3 linked regions of the Arabidopsis thaliana genome follow. The protein of the gene in region 3 interacts with the protein of the main gene of each other region in a pairwise test. Each region holds a gene or a part of one and is shown on either strand. Other genes may lie near its edges.

What was found. Proteins that work in one complex are often made in the same cells at the same time.
Region 1: the proteins of AT2G38250 (region 3) and FHA2 interact in binary tests that used the Arabidopsis thaliana proteins (3 or more experiments, as listed by UniProt).
Region 2: the proteins of AT2G38250 (region 3) and ATE1 interact in binary tests that used the Arabidopsis thaliana proteins (3 or more experiments, as listed by UniProt).

The regions. Positions count from the first base shown.
Region 1 is NC_003074.8:2,295,911-2,300,072, forward strand, and holds FHA2 (SMAD/FHA domain-containing protein), read left to right. Parts: upstream 1-1,975; 5' UTR 1,976-2,057; coding exon 2,058-2,652; intron 2,653-2,849; coding exon 2,850-3,007; intron 3,008-3,287; coding exon 3,288-3,497; 3' UTR 3,498-3,662; downstream 3,663-4,162. Other genes in the region: AT3G07230 (wound-responsive protein-like protein), read left to right, coding at 4,010-4,080. UniProt on the Arabidopsis thaliana protein: May play a role in the control of plant organ development and specifically in the regulation of stamen development. Does not show transactivation activity in yeast.
Region 2 is NC_003076.8:1,712,170-1,717,358, reverse strand, and holds ATE1 (arginine-tRNA protein transferase 1), read left to right. Parts: upstream 1-1,627; 5' UTR 1,628-1,719; coding exon 1,720-1,852; intron 1,853-2,013; coding exon 2,014-2,052; exon of another isoform or gene 2,053-2,144; coding exon 2,145-2,295; intron 2,296-2,525; coding exon 2,526-3,626; intron 3,627-3,807; coding exon 3,808-4,165; intron 4,166-4,292; coding exon 4,293-4,409; 3' UTR 4,410-4,689; downstream 4,690-5,189. Other genes in the region: AT5G05720 (RNA-binding (RRM/RBD/RNP motifs) family protein), read right to left, coding at 79-193, 261-371, 487-488; AT5G05710 (Pleckstrin homology (PH) domain superfamily protein), read right to left, coding at 982-1,416. UniProt on the Arabidopsis thaliana protein: Involved in the post-translational conjugation of arginine to the N-terminal aspartate or glutamate of a protein. This arginylation is required for degradation of the protein via the ubiquitin pathway. Component of the N-end rule pathway with ATE2 and PRT6.
Region 3 is NC_003071.7:16,016,612-16,020,808, reverse strand, and holds AT2G38250 (Homeodomain-like superfamily protein), read right to left. Parts: upstream 2,600-4,197; 5' UTR 2,426-2,599; coding exon 2,120-2,425; intron 1,873-2,119; coding exon 1,309-1,872; 3' UTR 653-1,308; downstream 1-652.

The DNA of each region.
Region 1 (4,162 bases), on a different chromosome or scaffold from region 3:
ATTTATTATCACTTATCAGCATTCAAGTCCAACTTTTTACTTCAAAACAAACAAAACTAGAAAATCCAATTCAATCAATTTTATTGGAGCATTTAAGTTAATCTCAAGTAGTTTAAACTTGAAAGAGTTGGATTCACAACTTATTGTATACACGAGAAAAAATGTAACAAACGATATTCCAAAAAAAAAAGTCAATTAAAGTGAACTTATCAGAATAACATTGTTCTTCATCATGTTTAAAACCCCAAAACAAAATCCAATTGCAAACACCGGTTTCTCAATGTACATCTCTCAAAAAAACATAGTAAACGACTGTACATAATGAAAATGGGAACTCTTTCTATGAACCATCGAAGACTCCAAGTATTCTATTACACTGGTTAGGGAGTTGAAAAGAAGTAAACCATAATGTGTCAAATCCGATCCAACATCAATTCCGTTAGCGCTTAAGAAGTCTTTTTGCATCTGCAATATCCTGCAATATAACAATAGCACCAAAACAAACTAGTACATAATCAACATTAACAACAGCTAGGAGCAAAAGCACTAGTCAAGAACTTAATTTAACCTTAATTAACAATTCGAGTTAACAAAGAAAGAAAAGAGTACTGAAAGTACCCGCTGCAGAAAAACTGCTTCTTTAGGAGAGGTAGGGAACTGCACTAAACCGATTCCAACAATTAATAGCAAAGGACACTACAACGTATATAGGTAGCTGGTGCAAAGATATACATTATTAATATTGACTAACTGAGAATAGCAATAAGCAAAAATGAGCACAACAGACTCATTACTAACCAACTATGTTTGGCTACGAGCCATAATTGCAGCCTGCAAGAGAGCAAACTAAAAGGCAGAGACAGCTACCAGCAGGCTCAAAATCTTGACCACATGCTTCATTGTCCTTGAAACAAAGTTTATGTAAGATTTGAGTATTGACAATATACCAGAAAAGAGGACTACACTAATGCATTTTCCGATTTCTTGCATATTTGGAGCTGACCATGAACGGGTGCCATTAAAGGATATCTATAGAAGTGAATTCCTTCAAATAACAAATTGCCAATTCTAAATCCATTACGCATAATTTCCACACATCTTAAGCAACTTATGTCCAGACCAGAATCTAGCATAGTCATGATAACTAAAAGAACAGTAAAATGCAACCCAAACCATCAAAATGGGAAAGGAAAAAAAAACGACTTTTCACATTTTCTTGGATCTCATAATACAAGCGGTCAGGAGCTCAAAGCCCTTTAAGCATAATTTGTAGAACCTGAATCTTAAAAAAAAAAAGAAACACAAATACATGATTTCCCACCGTTCCTCAGGATTTTAAACATTCTATAGTCAGATCCTCAGGAAATCAAAGCCATTACACAACACATTTCAGAACATTATAGGCTAAATGATTTGAAAACTTGAATCCTAAAATTCATTAAGCTGCCCCAAAACCAAGCTTCTACTAACAAAACAAACTACAATTAACCATCCGAATCAAACCATGCACCCAAAACTCGAATTGAAATTTGATATATCTAACAATGATTGAGCTGCCATCAGAATGAATTATTAGAAAATAATTTTGTCACGGTTCCTTCAGACCAGAGTAAACTCCAATCATCCGAAACTCAAAACCCTTGCGCAAAATTTTCAATCATCATTTGGCAACTTATTCAATCAAACCAACAACGAAAATAAACAAAAGGTTACATAAAACTAACCAAGCCTATGTTCTAAAGCAAACGAAATCAAAAAATTCAAACAATCAATAAGATGCTCCACTATTTGCGGGAGAGATGGAACCTTTAAGCTCACAGATCTCGCCGCCATTCTCAATGTTTCTTCGGCTGTTTTAAATAGTTGTGTCATTAGGGTTTTTATTCAGGTCTTAAAATCATGGGTATAATCGTCAATTTCACAAAATAAGCCTTTGTCCTGGATAAGCTAAACCAGTTTCCAAACAAATCTTGCTTCGATTCACAAATTATTACGATTGCAATCCCTAATTTGGAAGTCCCGGTTCCTCTTTCGATCAAATCGGAGAATTTCACGGCATGGCTACGGCTGTTGGTGGCGGAAGCGATGTGGAGGTTGGATTTGCGAAGCTTCAAGGTGAGGATTTCGAGTACTATATGCAGTCTTACTCCATTATACTCGGCCGGAATTCTAAGAAAGCCACCGTCGACGTTGATCTCTCATCCCTCGGCGGTGGGATGAACATCTCGCGCAACCACGCTCGGATCTTCTATGACTTCACTAGACGACGCTTCTCTCTCGAGGTCCTTGGCAAAAATGGCTGCCTCGTTGAAGGTGTTCTTCATCTCCCTGGGAATCCTAACGTCAAGCTCGATTCACAAGACCTTTTGCAGATCGGAGACAAAGAGTTCTACTTTCTCCTACCGGTTCGGAGCATCTTAGGCGGGCCGTTGGGACCTAGGCACCACGTCTCTGGGCAAACAAGTGTTGTTCCATACCATAATTATCAGTCGGGTCCAGGTTCTGGGTCGGGTAAGAAGGGCGTCAGGAGTAGAGAGTTGTATGAGTACGATGATGAAGATGATGATGACGACGACGATGAGGAGGACGATATGAGAGGAAGTGGAAAGAAAACAAGGAGAGATGGACATGAAGTAGTATATGCTTCCGGAGGTAAAACCAGATTGCTCATGATTGTTTGAGTTTTCATTGTGCAACTAGATATGTTTCAGATTATGATGCTTACTTGATCACATCAGGCTTGTTTCTTTAGACTTTGATTGTGGTGGTTGCTGATTGAACCTTGTTAGACTTGGATTGAATTTGAATGCTAGTGACACCACGACATTGTATCTGCTTCATTTGTGCAGAGAAGAAGAGAGAGGGAAGATCAAAGGTAGATCGTGAAGCTGATGATCAACAATTTTTGCAGCTGGAGGAAAAAGATGTTGTATCGTCTGTTGCCACTGTGCTTTCCGATTTGTGTGGTCCGGGAGAGTGGATGCCTATGGAAAAACTTCATTCGGTGGTTAGTTTTTATGAGAAAGTTCCTTGCCTTTTTCTAATACAGAATGTAGTACGAGTAATCAATTGAAACAAGACTTGTATAATGTCAAGGTGATAATTAGTGTGAAGCTAGGTCCTTAATTAGTTTTCCAATGGAAACGCGCTACGCTACTTATATGTGTCTAAGTCTAGAAAGTATGTCAGTTACTCCATAGATTTTGAATGACTAGTGTAGTCTGACTATGAACTTCTTTGTGATTCAATATGATGGCTAATGCATGGTAGTGGTTGGTCTGTGACAGATATTAAAGGAGTATGGAAACGTATGGCATCACAGTCGAGTAAGAAGATACCTATCACAAGAAGACTGGGCTATCCCTGAAGCAAAAGGTAAACCATGGTACGGTTTGCTGATGCTGCTGAGAAAATACCCGGAGCATTTCGTCATCAACACGAGATCAAAGGGAAGAGTTACCCTTGAATTCGTTTCCCTCGTTACCCTACTCTCATGAGAACTTTACCTTAGTGACTCGGATTAAGATTTAAGAAGCTTTTCTCTCTTTTCTTTGTTTCATATGTAAAATATTTTGGCATTGATTAGTAACACGCTGTGTCGTTTTTCTGCACCCAAAAACGCCAACTTCTTGGTCCTTGCAGTTGAGAGATTTTGATTTTCTTTTTCTTGATTCTTATTTTTGATAAACCCATCGAGATTTTTCTTTCATCAAAGGGCAAAAAATTCGTGCCAATTCAGAAATCGTTATGTTCGGTGGATTTGGGCCATAAAAAGAGAAAAGGCCGAAACAGAGAATGATCCAAAGTGGCTCAAGTACGTATCCAGACAATATAAAAAGGTTGGAATGTGCAAACTTAGGGTTATACTCGTATCTTGTAGCAGCCACTAAAGCAAAATTCTGAGATCGAAAAAGCTATATAAAAAAAAAAAACTGCTTCCGTTTCATCGATTTTGTCCAGATCTTCCCCTTCTTCCGGTAATCGAAGCTTACGAGATAGTTGAGTGAAGATGATCTATGATGTGAACTCTGGTCTATTCAGATCCTTCCTGAGCCAGAAGGGTAGCTCGTCCGACAAAAGGTACAAAATCTTGTCTTGTCTGATCCAAATATGAGATTATCTCGATGTTGTTCCCAGATCTATCTATTGATGTGTCATTCTT
Region 2 (5,189 bases), on a different chromosome or scaffold from region 3:
ATACCAAGGAGAATCTGATTTAGATTTGAAACTAGTACTACATAAGTGAAACTGAGTAATTAAGTGAAGATTAATAACCTCAACAGATATTCGATAAGTATCAATGAAACACTTGTTAACATATGTGATAGCATCTTGAGCTTCTTGTTCAGTACGAAAGCCAATATAAGCAAATTGTCTACTTTTGCCATCACTGCAAAAGCAAAACGAAATATAGTGACACAAGAATTAGCTGTGAAAAACACTCGATTTGAATGTACCTTTTACGCTTCAATTTCACGTCTGCGATTTCTCCTTTTCGTGAAAAGACATCTCGAAGTCGTTCCTCTGTCACATGTTTGGAAGGAAGATTCTTAACGATTATCCAAGACCTGTAATTTACAGAAGGCCGAAACAAAAAAAAATAACTTGCCTACATTGATTGTTTTCTGCTAAACCTAATTAGTTAAAGGAAAAAGAAAACTGTTGTGGGAAATCAATACTTACATTCTCAAGTTAGGGTTTCTAATAGACGAAGAAGATGGATTTTGTTTCCTTCTTGCAATGTTTTTGAAGACTCTAAGAGTGTCGGACTAGGAAGAAGAAGAAGAGGAGAGGGGTTTTAGGTATTTTGTTGTTCCTTCCAGACCCGGCCCTGAATGGAAGCGGGTAGGGTTTAGGACACTTAATGACGAGAGGAACTTTCCATACATGCATCTTAGTCTGTACGACGAAGTTATTGTATTTGATCACGTGCAAAAGGTATTGCTTCTGTTACCATATTTGGTAAGTACATGTTTGAAGAACCATATAAGTCTTTGAACCAGAAGCGTTGCCCTTGAAGAATTAGGTTTTATATTATATGTTTTTCGGATATGAGTTCATGTTTTCAAGCAGAGACAAAGCTTTTCATTTCTTGATTTTGTAAGATTTACATTTAAGACTCCATCAATGAAAGCTGTGATCATAATCACTTTGACAAAAGACAAAAACAGAGAAACTTTAGTGTTTGTTATCGTAATCAACGATCTCAGAATCGGTAACGGATCTGGAGTTTTGCACGATGGAACGTCCAATGGAATTGATCCAATCTTCTTTCTCCTTCTCCGAATCAGCAATGAAGTACATAGTCTCATTTCTCGTCGATAGCTCGAACGCGTTTTGCTTGTTGAGTACATCCTCTGCTCCTTTAGCGGTTAAGCACGATTCTACGGGGACGACACCGCGAGGGCGTGACACACGCGTGACGTCGGAGTCTTTGAACCAGAAGAGTTTCCCTTGTTTGAGCACGAACCATCGGCGTCGCCAAGTCTTGATGTACTCTCCTTGTTTCGTGAGCCAGCCGGTTCGTTCTGGGTTTGACCAGAACTCTACGCCTCCGTAGTCTTCGGAATTGTTGTTCTGACCGCCGATTACTGCTCGCCACAGGCTTGCCATCTTCCGAAGATTGAACTGGAGAATTAGGGTTTTGATCCAAATCTGCCGATGCTATCGAAAATCTGTTTATCGATTCCATTATTTTTTCGTGTTTATCTTTTGCCCCAAAATGTTTTTATTTTTCATTTTCTTCCCTTAAAATATTTATAATTACATAACAACCCCTTCATTTTGCCAATTGCATAACAGTCAGCAACAATGTTTTAATATTGAAAAAAAAAGTCAAATGTGAAAGAAGATTATGTCTTCTTCTCCAAACGGAAAGAGCTTAGCAAAATTCTTCTGAATGAATAATCGGCGATTATGTCTTTGAAAAACGATGCGAGTAGTAGCCACGACGGTGGAAGCAACAGAGAAAGCGTAATCGATGATCATGGCCGCCGTAAAAGCACTTGCGGCTACTGTAAATCCCCAGCTCGGTCCAGTATCTCTCACGGTTCGTTTAATTTTGCTTTTCTTACGGATTAGGTTGTTGAATCGATCGATTAGAGTAGAATCTTCTCGAATTGCTCATATGCTTGATAAGAATTGATTTTGTTTATGATCTTAAAGTTCCAATGAATAAATGATTGATAAACATAGTGAATGTCAATGCAGGTTTATCAGCACAGACTCTTACCGTTTATGACTACCAAGGTTTGTTGCTATTATTGGACTCTATGTGTGATGAACCAATTTTGTTGACAGAATAGAGATCTTTTATGTATCTTTGCTTTACTTTTCTGTAGCTCTTATTGACCGAGGCTGGAGAAGATCTGGTACTTATCTTTACAAACATGAGATGGATAAAACGTGTTGCCCTCCTTATACGATACGTTTGAAAGCAAGTGATTTTGTTCCTACTAAAGAGCAGCAGCGAGTTTCTAGAAGACTAGAAAGGTGCATATAGCTTCACTTTGCTTCTCTTTTTGGATCAATAGATGAAAGTTTTTGTGGTGTTAGTTGTTTCATGTTATTGGCTTAGTCGGAAAGGTTTTACCTTTGAAACATGCATATGAGGAGAGATCTATGATTCTGATGTGTAAATATTCTTCACGATCTTCAGATTTCTCTAATGAAGTCGTTCATTGAAGAGCTTCCTGAATTTTCTTAATAATGTTTTGTCAAAGGTTCTTGGATGGCAAACTAGATGTGCAGCCCAGGGAACAAAGAGGTGCTTCTTCCTCTGGTGATGTTTCAGATACAAGGAGAAAAACACTTGGAGCTGCTAAAAGTGAAGAGAATAAGAAAGTTGAAGCAGTTATGGATGATTTGTCTAAAAATATTGACCAAGCTGTGCAATTATGCATACGGAGTGGGGAATTCCCGTCTAATATGCAGATACCAAAAGCTTCAGTGAAGAAGGTTTTCTGTGCTAGAAGAAAGAAACTAGCTGAAGGAACAGAACAAATCTTATACACCAGCAACATTGCTTTTCCAATAGCAGCTGCAATAAAACGCATCCAGACATCTGAGAAAGAGGGGATAAATAGTGCAGAAGGAAATAGATTATCACCTGAAACTATTTCTGAGATGTTGTTGAGTGCAATGCATAAGGTGGGGGAAACTCCTGATGTGTCTATCAAAGTCTGTAAGGGCCATATCAATTTCCTTTCATCTGCCAAAGATTCTTTTTCTGATAGAGATGTTGTACCTAATGGTAACATCTCGAGAGGAGCCAATTCTTTAGATGGAAGTGAAACCCTTCACGCTAAGAAGGATTCAGAAAACCATCAGGCAAGAAAGCGAAAGCTGGAGATACATTTGAAAAGGTCTAGTTTTGATCCTGAAGAACATGAGTTATACAAACGGTATCAGCTGAAAGTGCACAATGATAAGCCAGGGCACGTTGTAGAAAGTTCATACAGAAGGTTTTTGGTCGACTCTCCTTTAATAGATGTTCAACCTTCAGGTGATGAAAAGGTTCCGCCTTGTGGCTTCGGCTCTTTCCACCAACAATATAGAATTGATGGCCGCCTAATTGCCGTCGGGGTTGTAGACATTCTTCCTAAATGTTTGTCAAGTGTATACTTATTCTGGGATCCAGACTATGCATTCTTATCGCTCGGAAAATATTCTGCCATTCAAGAAATTAATTGGGTTATAGAGAACCAAGCTCGCTGCCCTTCTCTTCAGTATTACTATCTTGGTTATTATATACATTCCTGCAGCAAGATGAGATATAAAGCAGCCTATCGTCCATCTGAGCTTCTATGTCCTCTCCGTTTCCAGTAAGTTACAACCAAACTGAGTCGTATATTTTTTTACTCTATGCCTTAGTTTATCATTGATCTCCTCTCATATGAAGTTCTGGTACTTGTAAAAAGATATTTATGTCCTCTTCTTAGACATGTCATTGAAGTGAAGAGACTGGTAAATGTAAGTTTTTAACACTCGGAGTTGTGTTTCCAGGTGGGTTCCATTTGAAGTAGCAAGGCCGATGCTTGATAAAAAGCCATATGTCATATTGTCCGATATTGCTATTTCACATAATCAATGTTCTTTACTAGCTGGTGCTTCTGAAACTCTCGTGGAACCAGCAGCAAGTGAACATGAAGACATGGAACAAGGGGAGACGAATGATAACTTTATGGGCTGCAGTGATGAGGATGAAGATGAGGATGAGGATGATGATGATGATGATGATGATGATGAGGAAATGTATGAGACTGAATCAGAGGACTCTCATATTGAGTCAGACCCTGGATCCAAAGATAACGACATTAACAACATCCTTATCGGTCTTTATGGATCCCAATATAGATACAAGGTACATCAAACTTCTTCTTCTTTTTTTGTTTCTTTTTGAATTATCATAGCTAATTGGGTATTTATTGAGCATTATCAAACTCTCCTCATATTGATGACAACTAAACAAAAAAAAATGGATTTGGAAGGAAATGCGGCAGATCATAACTCCCGTAGGCAGGAAGCAACTGGAACCGATGTTACAAAGCTACCGCAAGGTTGTGGGCGCTGAGCTTTCAGAGAGAATGGTGTATGAAATCAACTGAAGCTTCAACAATACCAAGCTCCATTGAGCTTTGGTACCATTAGTCATTAGATAAAACTCAAAATTGTTTGTATTCATGTTTCAGTTGTTGTATATCTATGACTATGAGACTTGTACATGGTGTCTTTCTTTAAGTTTGTATTTTCTGATTACCTTTATATTGAAAAAATTTCTGTCCAAGAAGTTGAAAACTAACTTACTGTTCATGAAGTAGTTTTTGTCAATCTTTGGTACGTACATATGGTTTTGTTATGCTTTTTAATTTTTGCAAGAAACAAACTACAAATAGAGAGGTTTTATTACGATAATAAAAGTTTATAATAATAACTATTGGGAGATATCCAAAACTATATTATTTGTAATATTATCGAGCTACATATCAGCAATTCAGCATTACAGATATAAATGTATAAAAAATAGTAAAAGGAGAAAGGGAATGAGGAGGAGAGAGGCGCACGTGGGGAGGCCTGACAGTGAAAAAGAAAGGCAAAGGCCCACACGAGCAGATTTCAGACTTTGGGAAGTGTTAAGTAAAAAAGAATAAAGGTTTTTTAAATTTTTTTTAACATTCTCAGAATTTTTGCAGCAGAACACTTTTTACCACATCTCTCACACGTGTGCCCCTCCTCGTCTTCCGTAATCTTCTTTTTTTTTCTTGACCCTTTTGACCGCTAGCTACTTCTCCTACTAGGAGTATCTTCTTCTTCTTTTTTTCTTTTTTAAAATGTATTTGAAACTACCAATTTAAATCCAAAGAGTTTTGAAGCTTTTCTTCACAACG
Region 3 (4,197 bases):
AGATAAACTTACGAATATATTTCTACAAAATATCTTATTTTTAGAAGAGCTATACTAACTAATGCAGCGAAGATAAACGAAAAACAATAGTAAATTTGCGGGTACCAAAATGAGAATCGTCGAATCTATTTCCTATACAACAATTTATTTAATACGTAAAAAAAGACGTCGTTATCCTAAATATCTAAAGCTAAAGAGAGAGTCATTAACCAAAAAAATGTTCTTTTGCTAAATGTTGTAAAATCTAAGAGTTGTATAAAGGTTATTTCTAGTTATGTATTTAAATTGTTACTATTTGTCATGATAATTTTAAAATTCAAAGAGTTTATAATATTAACAACAAATAGATATATAAAATCATATTTTCAAAATTTTCAATAAAATATTTTAGTCACACAAAAAACTGTTAAATTTTTTACAAATAAATCCACGCATGAGTTCATAGCTAGTAAATAAATAAAGAAACAACAATGTTACCAAAAAAAAACTGGTTAACGTATTTTCTAGAATTAACATGTGATGTGTATTTTATTCATTAAGCATCTCCTTAGTATATAATTATATAAATATAAATTTACAAATAAAATAATACAAGATCTTTACTAATCTTTATGTGGAAAACAAAAAAAAAACATAAGTAAAACAAATTTATGTGGATAAGAAACGCCATACGCATTCACGTATTATCTTGCCATGTTAGATATGATTCTCAATGTTACAAGAAAACATTTATGGTAAAATAATAAAAGTTTAGATCGCAGACAATGGACCTAAATGATCCCATAATTCATAGGATAAGTTTTCATTCTTGTTTCGAGCATGTTTAATATTTCCACTAACTGTTTTGCCCTCTTGATCTCTACATTCTCATCAAAGTTAATTAGTTCATAATACCATAAACTATTAGTATCCTCGTTCTCTTCTGCATGAAGATAATATTTGAAACCGATATTACATTCGCTGCACTATATATGGATTTGTAGGTTAACTCTAACAAAATCCAAATTACTCTAAAATACTACACATACGGTCCTACAAATTACTAATTAAAACCAGTATACTACTAAGATTAAATGATATGCTATAAGAATTTGGCTCGCCAAAATATAAACTAGGAAGAAATAATGTGGGGATGATAAATTACTAAAGCCTCACTAAAACTCAAATATGTCATCATATCAATCAATATATGAGTGTTGAGATTTGCCGTAGATATTATCTTCCCCCACCAAATAATTGTACCTACACTACACCCCAAACAAGCATATAAGAACAAGTTAATTTAGGTTAAGCAAAGCTGACAAAAGATTAGAGGGAACCATCTCTAGTAAGCTTAGCAAGCAATGCATTGATAAGTGAATCCCTCTTCTCTGCTCTCATCTCCTCCCTCGACCGCCGTTGCTCCTCTCTATCCCGCCACATCCGCTCCATTGCCAACCTCTCCTTCTCAAGCTCCTCCATCTTCCTTCTCCATTCTTCTTCTTTCTCTGCTCTTTCCTTCTCCCTAGCCTCCCATCCTTCTCTCCACTCGCTCTCCATTCTCACTTGATGTCTCATAAACTCTTCCAACACTTCTCTTACACCATTATTGCTATTACTACTATTACTACCGCCTTTTCGCTTCTTTGCAATGTTCTTTTTCGGATTTAGAATTTTTGGGTCGTTGCTGACATCTACTAGCTCTTCATTCACATTCTCTTCTTCCTCATCTGAAGAATACTCTCTCTTTCTCGCTGCCCCGCTTGTTCCCCCTCCTCCTCCCTCGGATTCAGCCCATAGCATTCTCTGCATTCTAGTGGTAAATATATTTTGCATATCATCATAAAAAGGGAACTGTTGTCTCGCTGTCTCTGCCTCCATTGTCTCACATCCCTAGAAACATCAAGCAATACATCACCAATGAGATTGTATACATATAATTAAACTACTTAGCAGATTATGGACAACAAGATTCAGAAATATTTACAATGGTGTTTGTCTATATGTCCCGGAAAGATTATGGACTATAAGATTCAATATTTCTTGGTTACAAATTTTTATTTATTTATTTGTTCCATGCAAGACCTCCAAGATTATAAAACATCCACAAAATGAAAGAAGAGGGAGAGAGAGAATAGACCTTAAAACGAGTGACGAGGTTCTTCCACTTGCACTTGCACTGTTCAGGGCTACGAGGAAAGCTTTTGTCTCTCATCTTGTTAGAGATAACTTCCCAAAGAAGCTTGTTCCGTTTTGTCTCCATGAAAGTTTGATCTAGCTCTCCTCTTATCCCTATCAACTCTTTTGTCTCTTCGACGCTCCACTGTGGAAACCTATCCCCAACAGCTACCGGAGAGGCTATTTCCGGCGTTTGCGATTGAGTATGAAGATGATGCTTGTTGAGATATTGAAGCTGGTGAAGGTGATGATGCTGATGTCCATCCATATGAAAGAATCAAGAAGAAGAAACTATAAAAAAAAAATAAAGAAAAAAAATCACCAAACGATCTCTAAAGCAAAGATTTTGAAGAAGCTTTCACTTTTTCAGATCGAAAAACAAAATATTTCTTGTTTTTCTTTATCTTTTGGTTTTTGTGTATTTGTAATGTGAAAACGTTGGAAGAAAGAAGTCTAATTTTCTTTGATCGCAATTCTTTTCTTCTTCTCCACTCTCTCTTTCTCCTGTCGCCATCTGTCTACGCGTTTACTTTTTTCTCTGTCTTGGATTTTTTCTAATACAATTTACTTTTTTTTTGTGTGTCTTCTTTTGACAAAATATTAAAAAGAAAAAAGCTTTCGGCAGATTTGTCATTTCATTTCTAATAGTATATAATTAGTTAAAATATCGATTGAAATGGTATTATAGAGCAAAGGATAATTAGCGTCTTAAACTACCAGTCAATTCGTTAATAAAAGATATGTTGACTGGTGATCAGGAGAGATGTGGATATTTCTATCGTTATCTCATAATGTAATCACTTTCATTTGACAAATAGTATTCTAGATTCTGACAGTCGACATATTTGTCAAATATGTGTATGAAATGAGTTTATTACTGAGTTGGTTTGGTAAAATGGTAGGGATAATAAATTTAATTAAAATGATGATAATTTTTTATATTGCTTTAAATATAAAAAACAGTAAAATATTAAAGAGAAAGTCAAGTCTTTAAATAATATAATACAATTTTTCTTTTGTCAAAATAAATTAGAGTGAAAGTGTAAGAAAAACATAGGTGAGTGGTAAATATTTCCTATTGAGTTATAGAGCTCTTTATGTATTTTCTGTTTAATCTGCTTTTTCATTCATACTATAATGAGGAATCAAATTGATGTGACGATAACATTGCGTTGAGGTTTCATCATCACCGCGAGAAGTTTCGGTTTGTATACTTTTTGTAATAATACTGTGTGGTTATTAATTCTCGGCGACCAGTCATATCCTTAGCTTCATGCCCAAGTTTCTATTTACTACTTTGTCTTTGTTTATTTTTCCCTTTTTCAACAAAATTCGATATTTTTCTAATTTTGAGCACCTTTTTTAAATACAAAACTAGGTGACTTCTCTAGAATCTCTCGTTTCCTAAATTCCTTCACGTGTTATTCCTTGTATGGTTATCAAAATAACAAAAGTGTTGGAATGATTTCTTCATTCACGAAATGACAAATTATAGTGTGACACGTGCGTGGAACTAGCCAGCTAGGAACAACATTCTAGAGATGTGAAACTTGTTAGGCCAATTTTGAATTTTTTTAAAAGCATGAACATGACAAAAAAAAGCATGTGCCAAACTAATTCATTTTCAACTTAAGGTTTATTATGGGTTGGCAGCCCAAACCCATTCTACACAGTTTGGGCCCAATTTGTCTTCGAGTGATGTACAATTTGGCAATTGGACTCACATAAGAACAAATTTTGTGTAACCCCTACAATAGATGAAAACTGCAACTCTCTTCTAAAGTAAAGGACTAAAGTCAACCTAGTCCCTTAAATGAGGTTTGGAAAATTCTTTGTCTGCCTCGTTCACTTTTATTTTGCCTCGTTTTATGTATCTGTTGAAGGAACACCACTTGGTTGATTATGGTACGAAAAACATGTTATTTGGACTTTCACCAAATTTATGTCGATATAAAAAGATCAGTACAAATTTGTTATTGATTTTATTTTTAGAGGCTACATTTCCTATGGTTTGTGACCAGACTATAGCTAGCTACAATT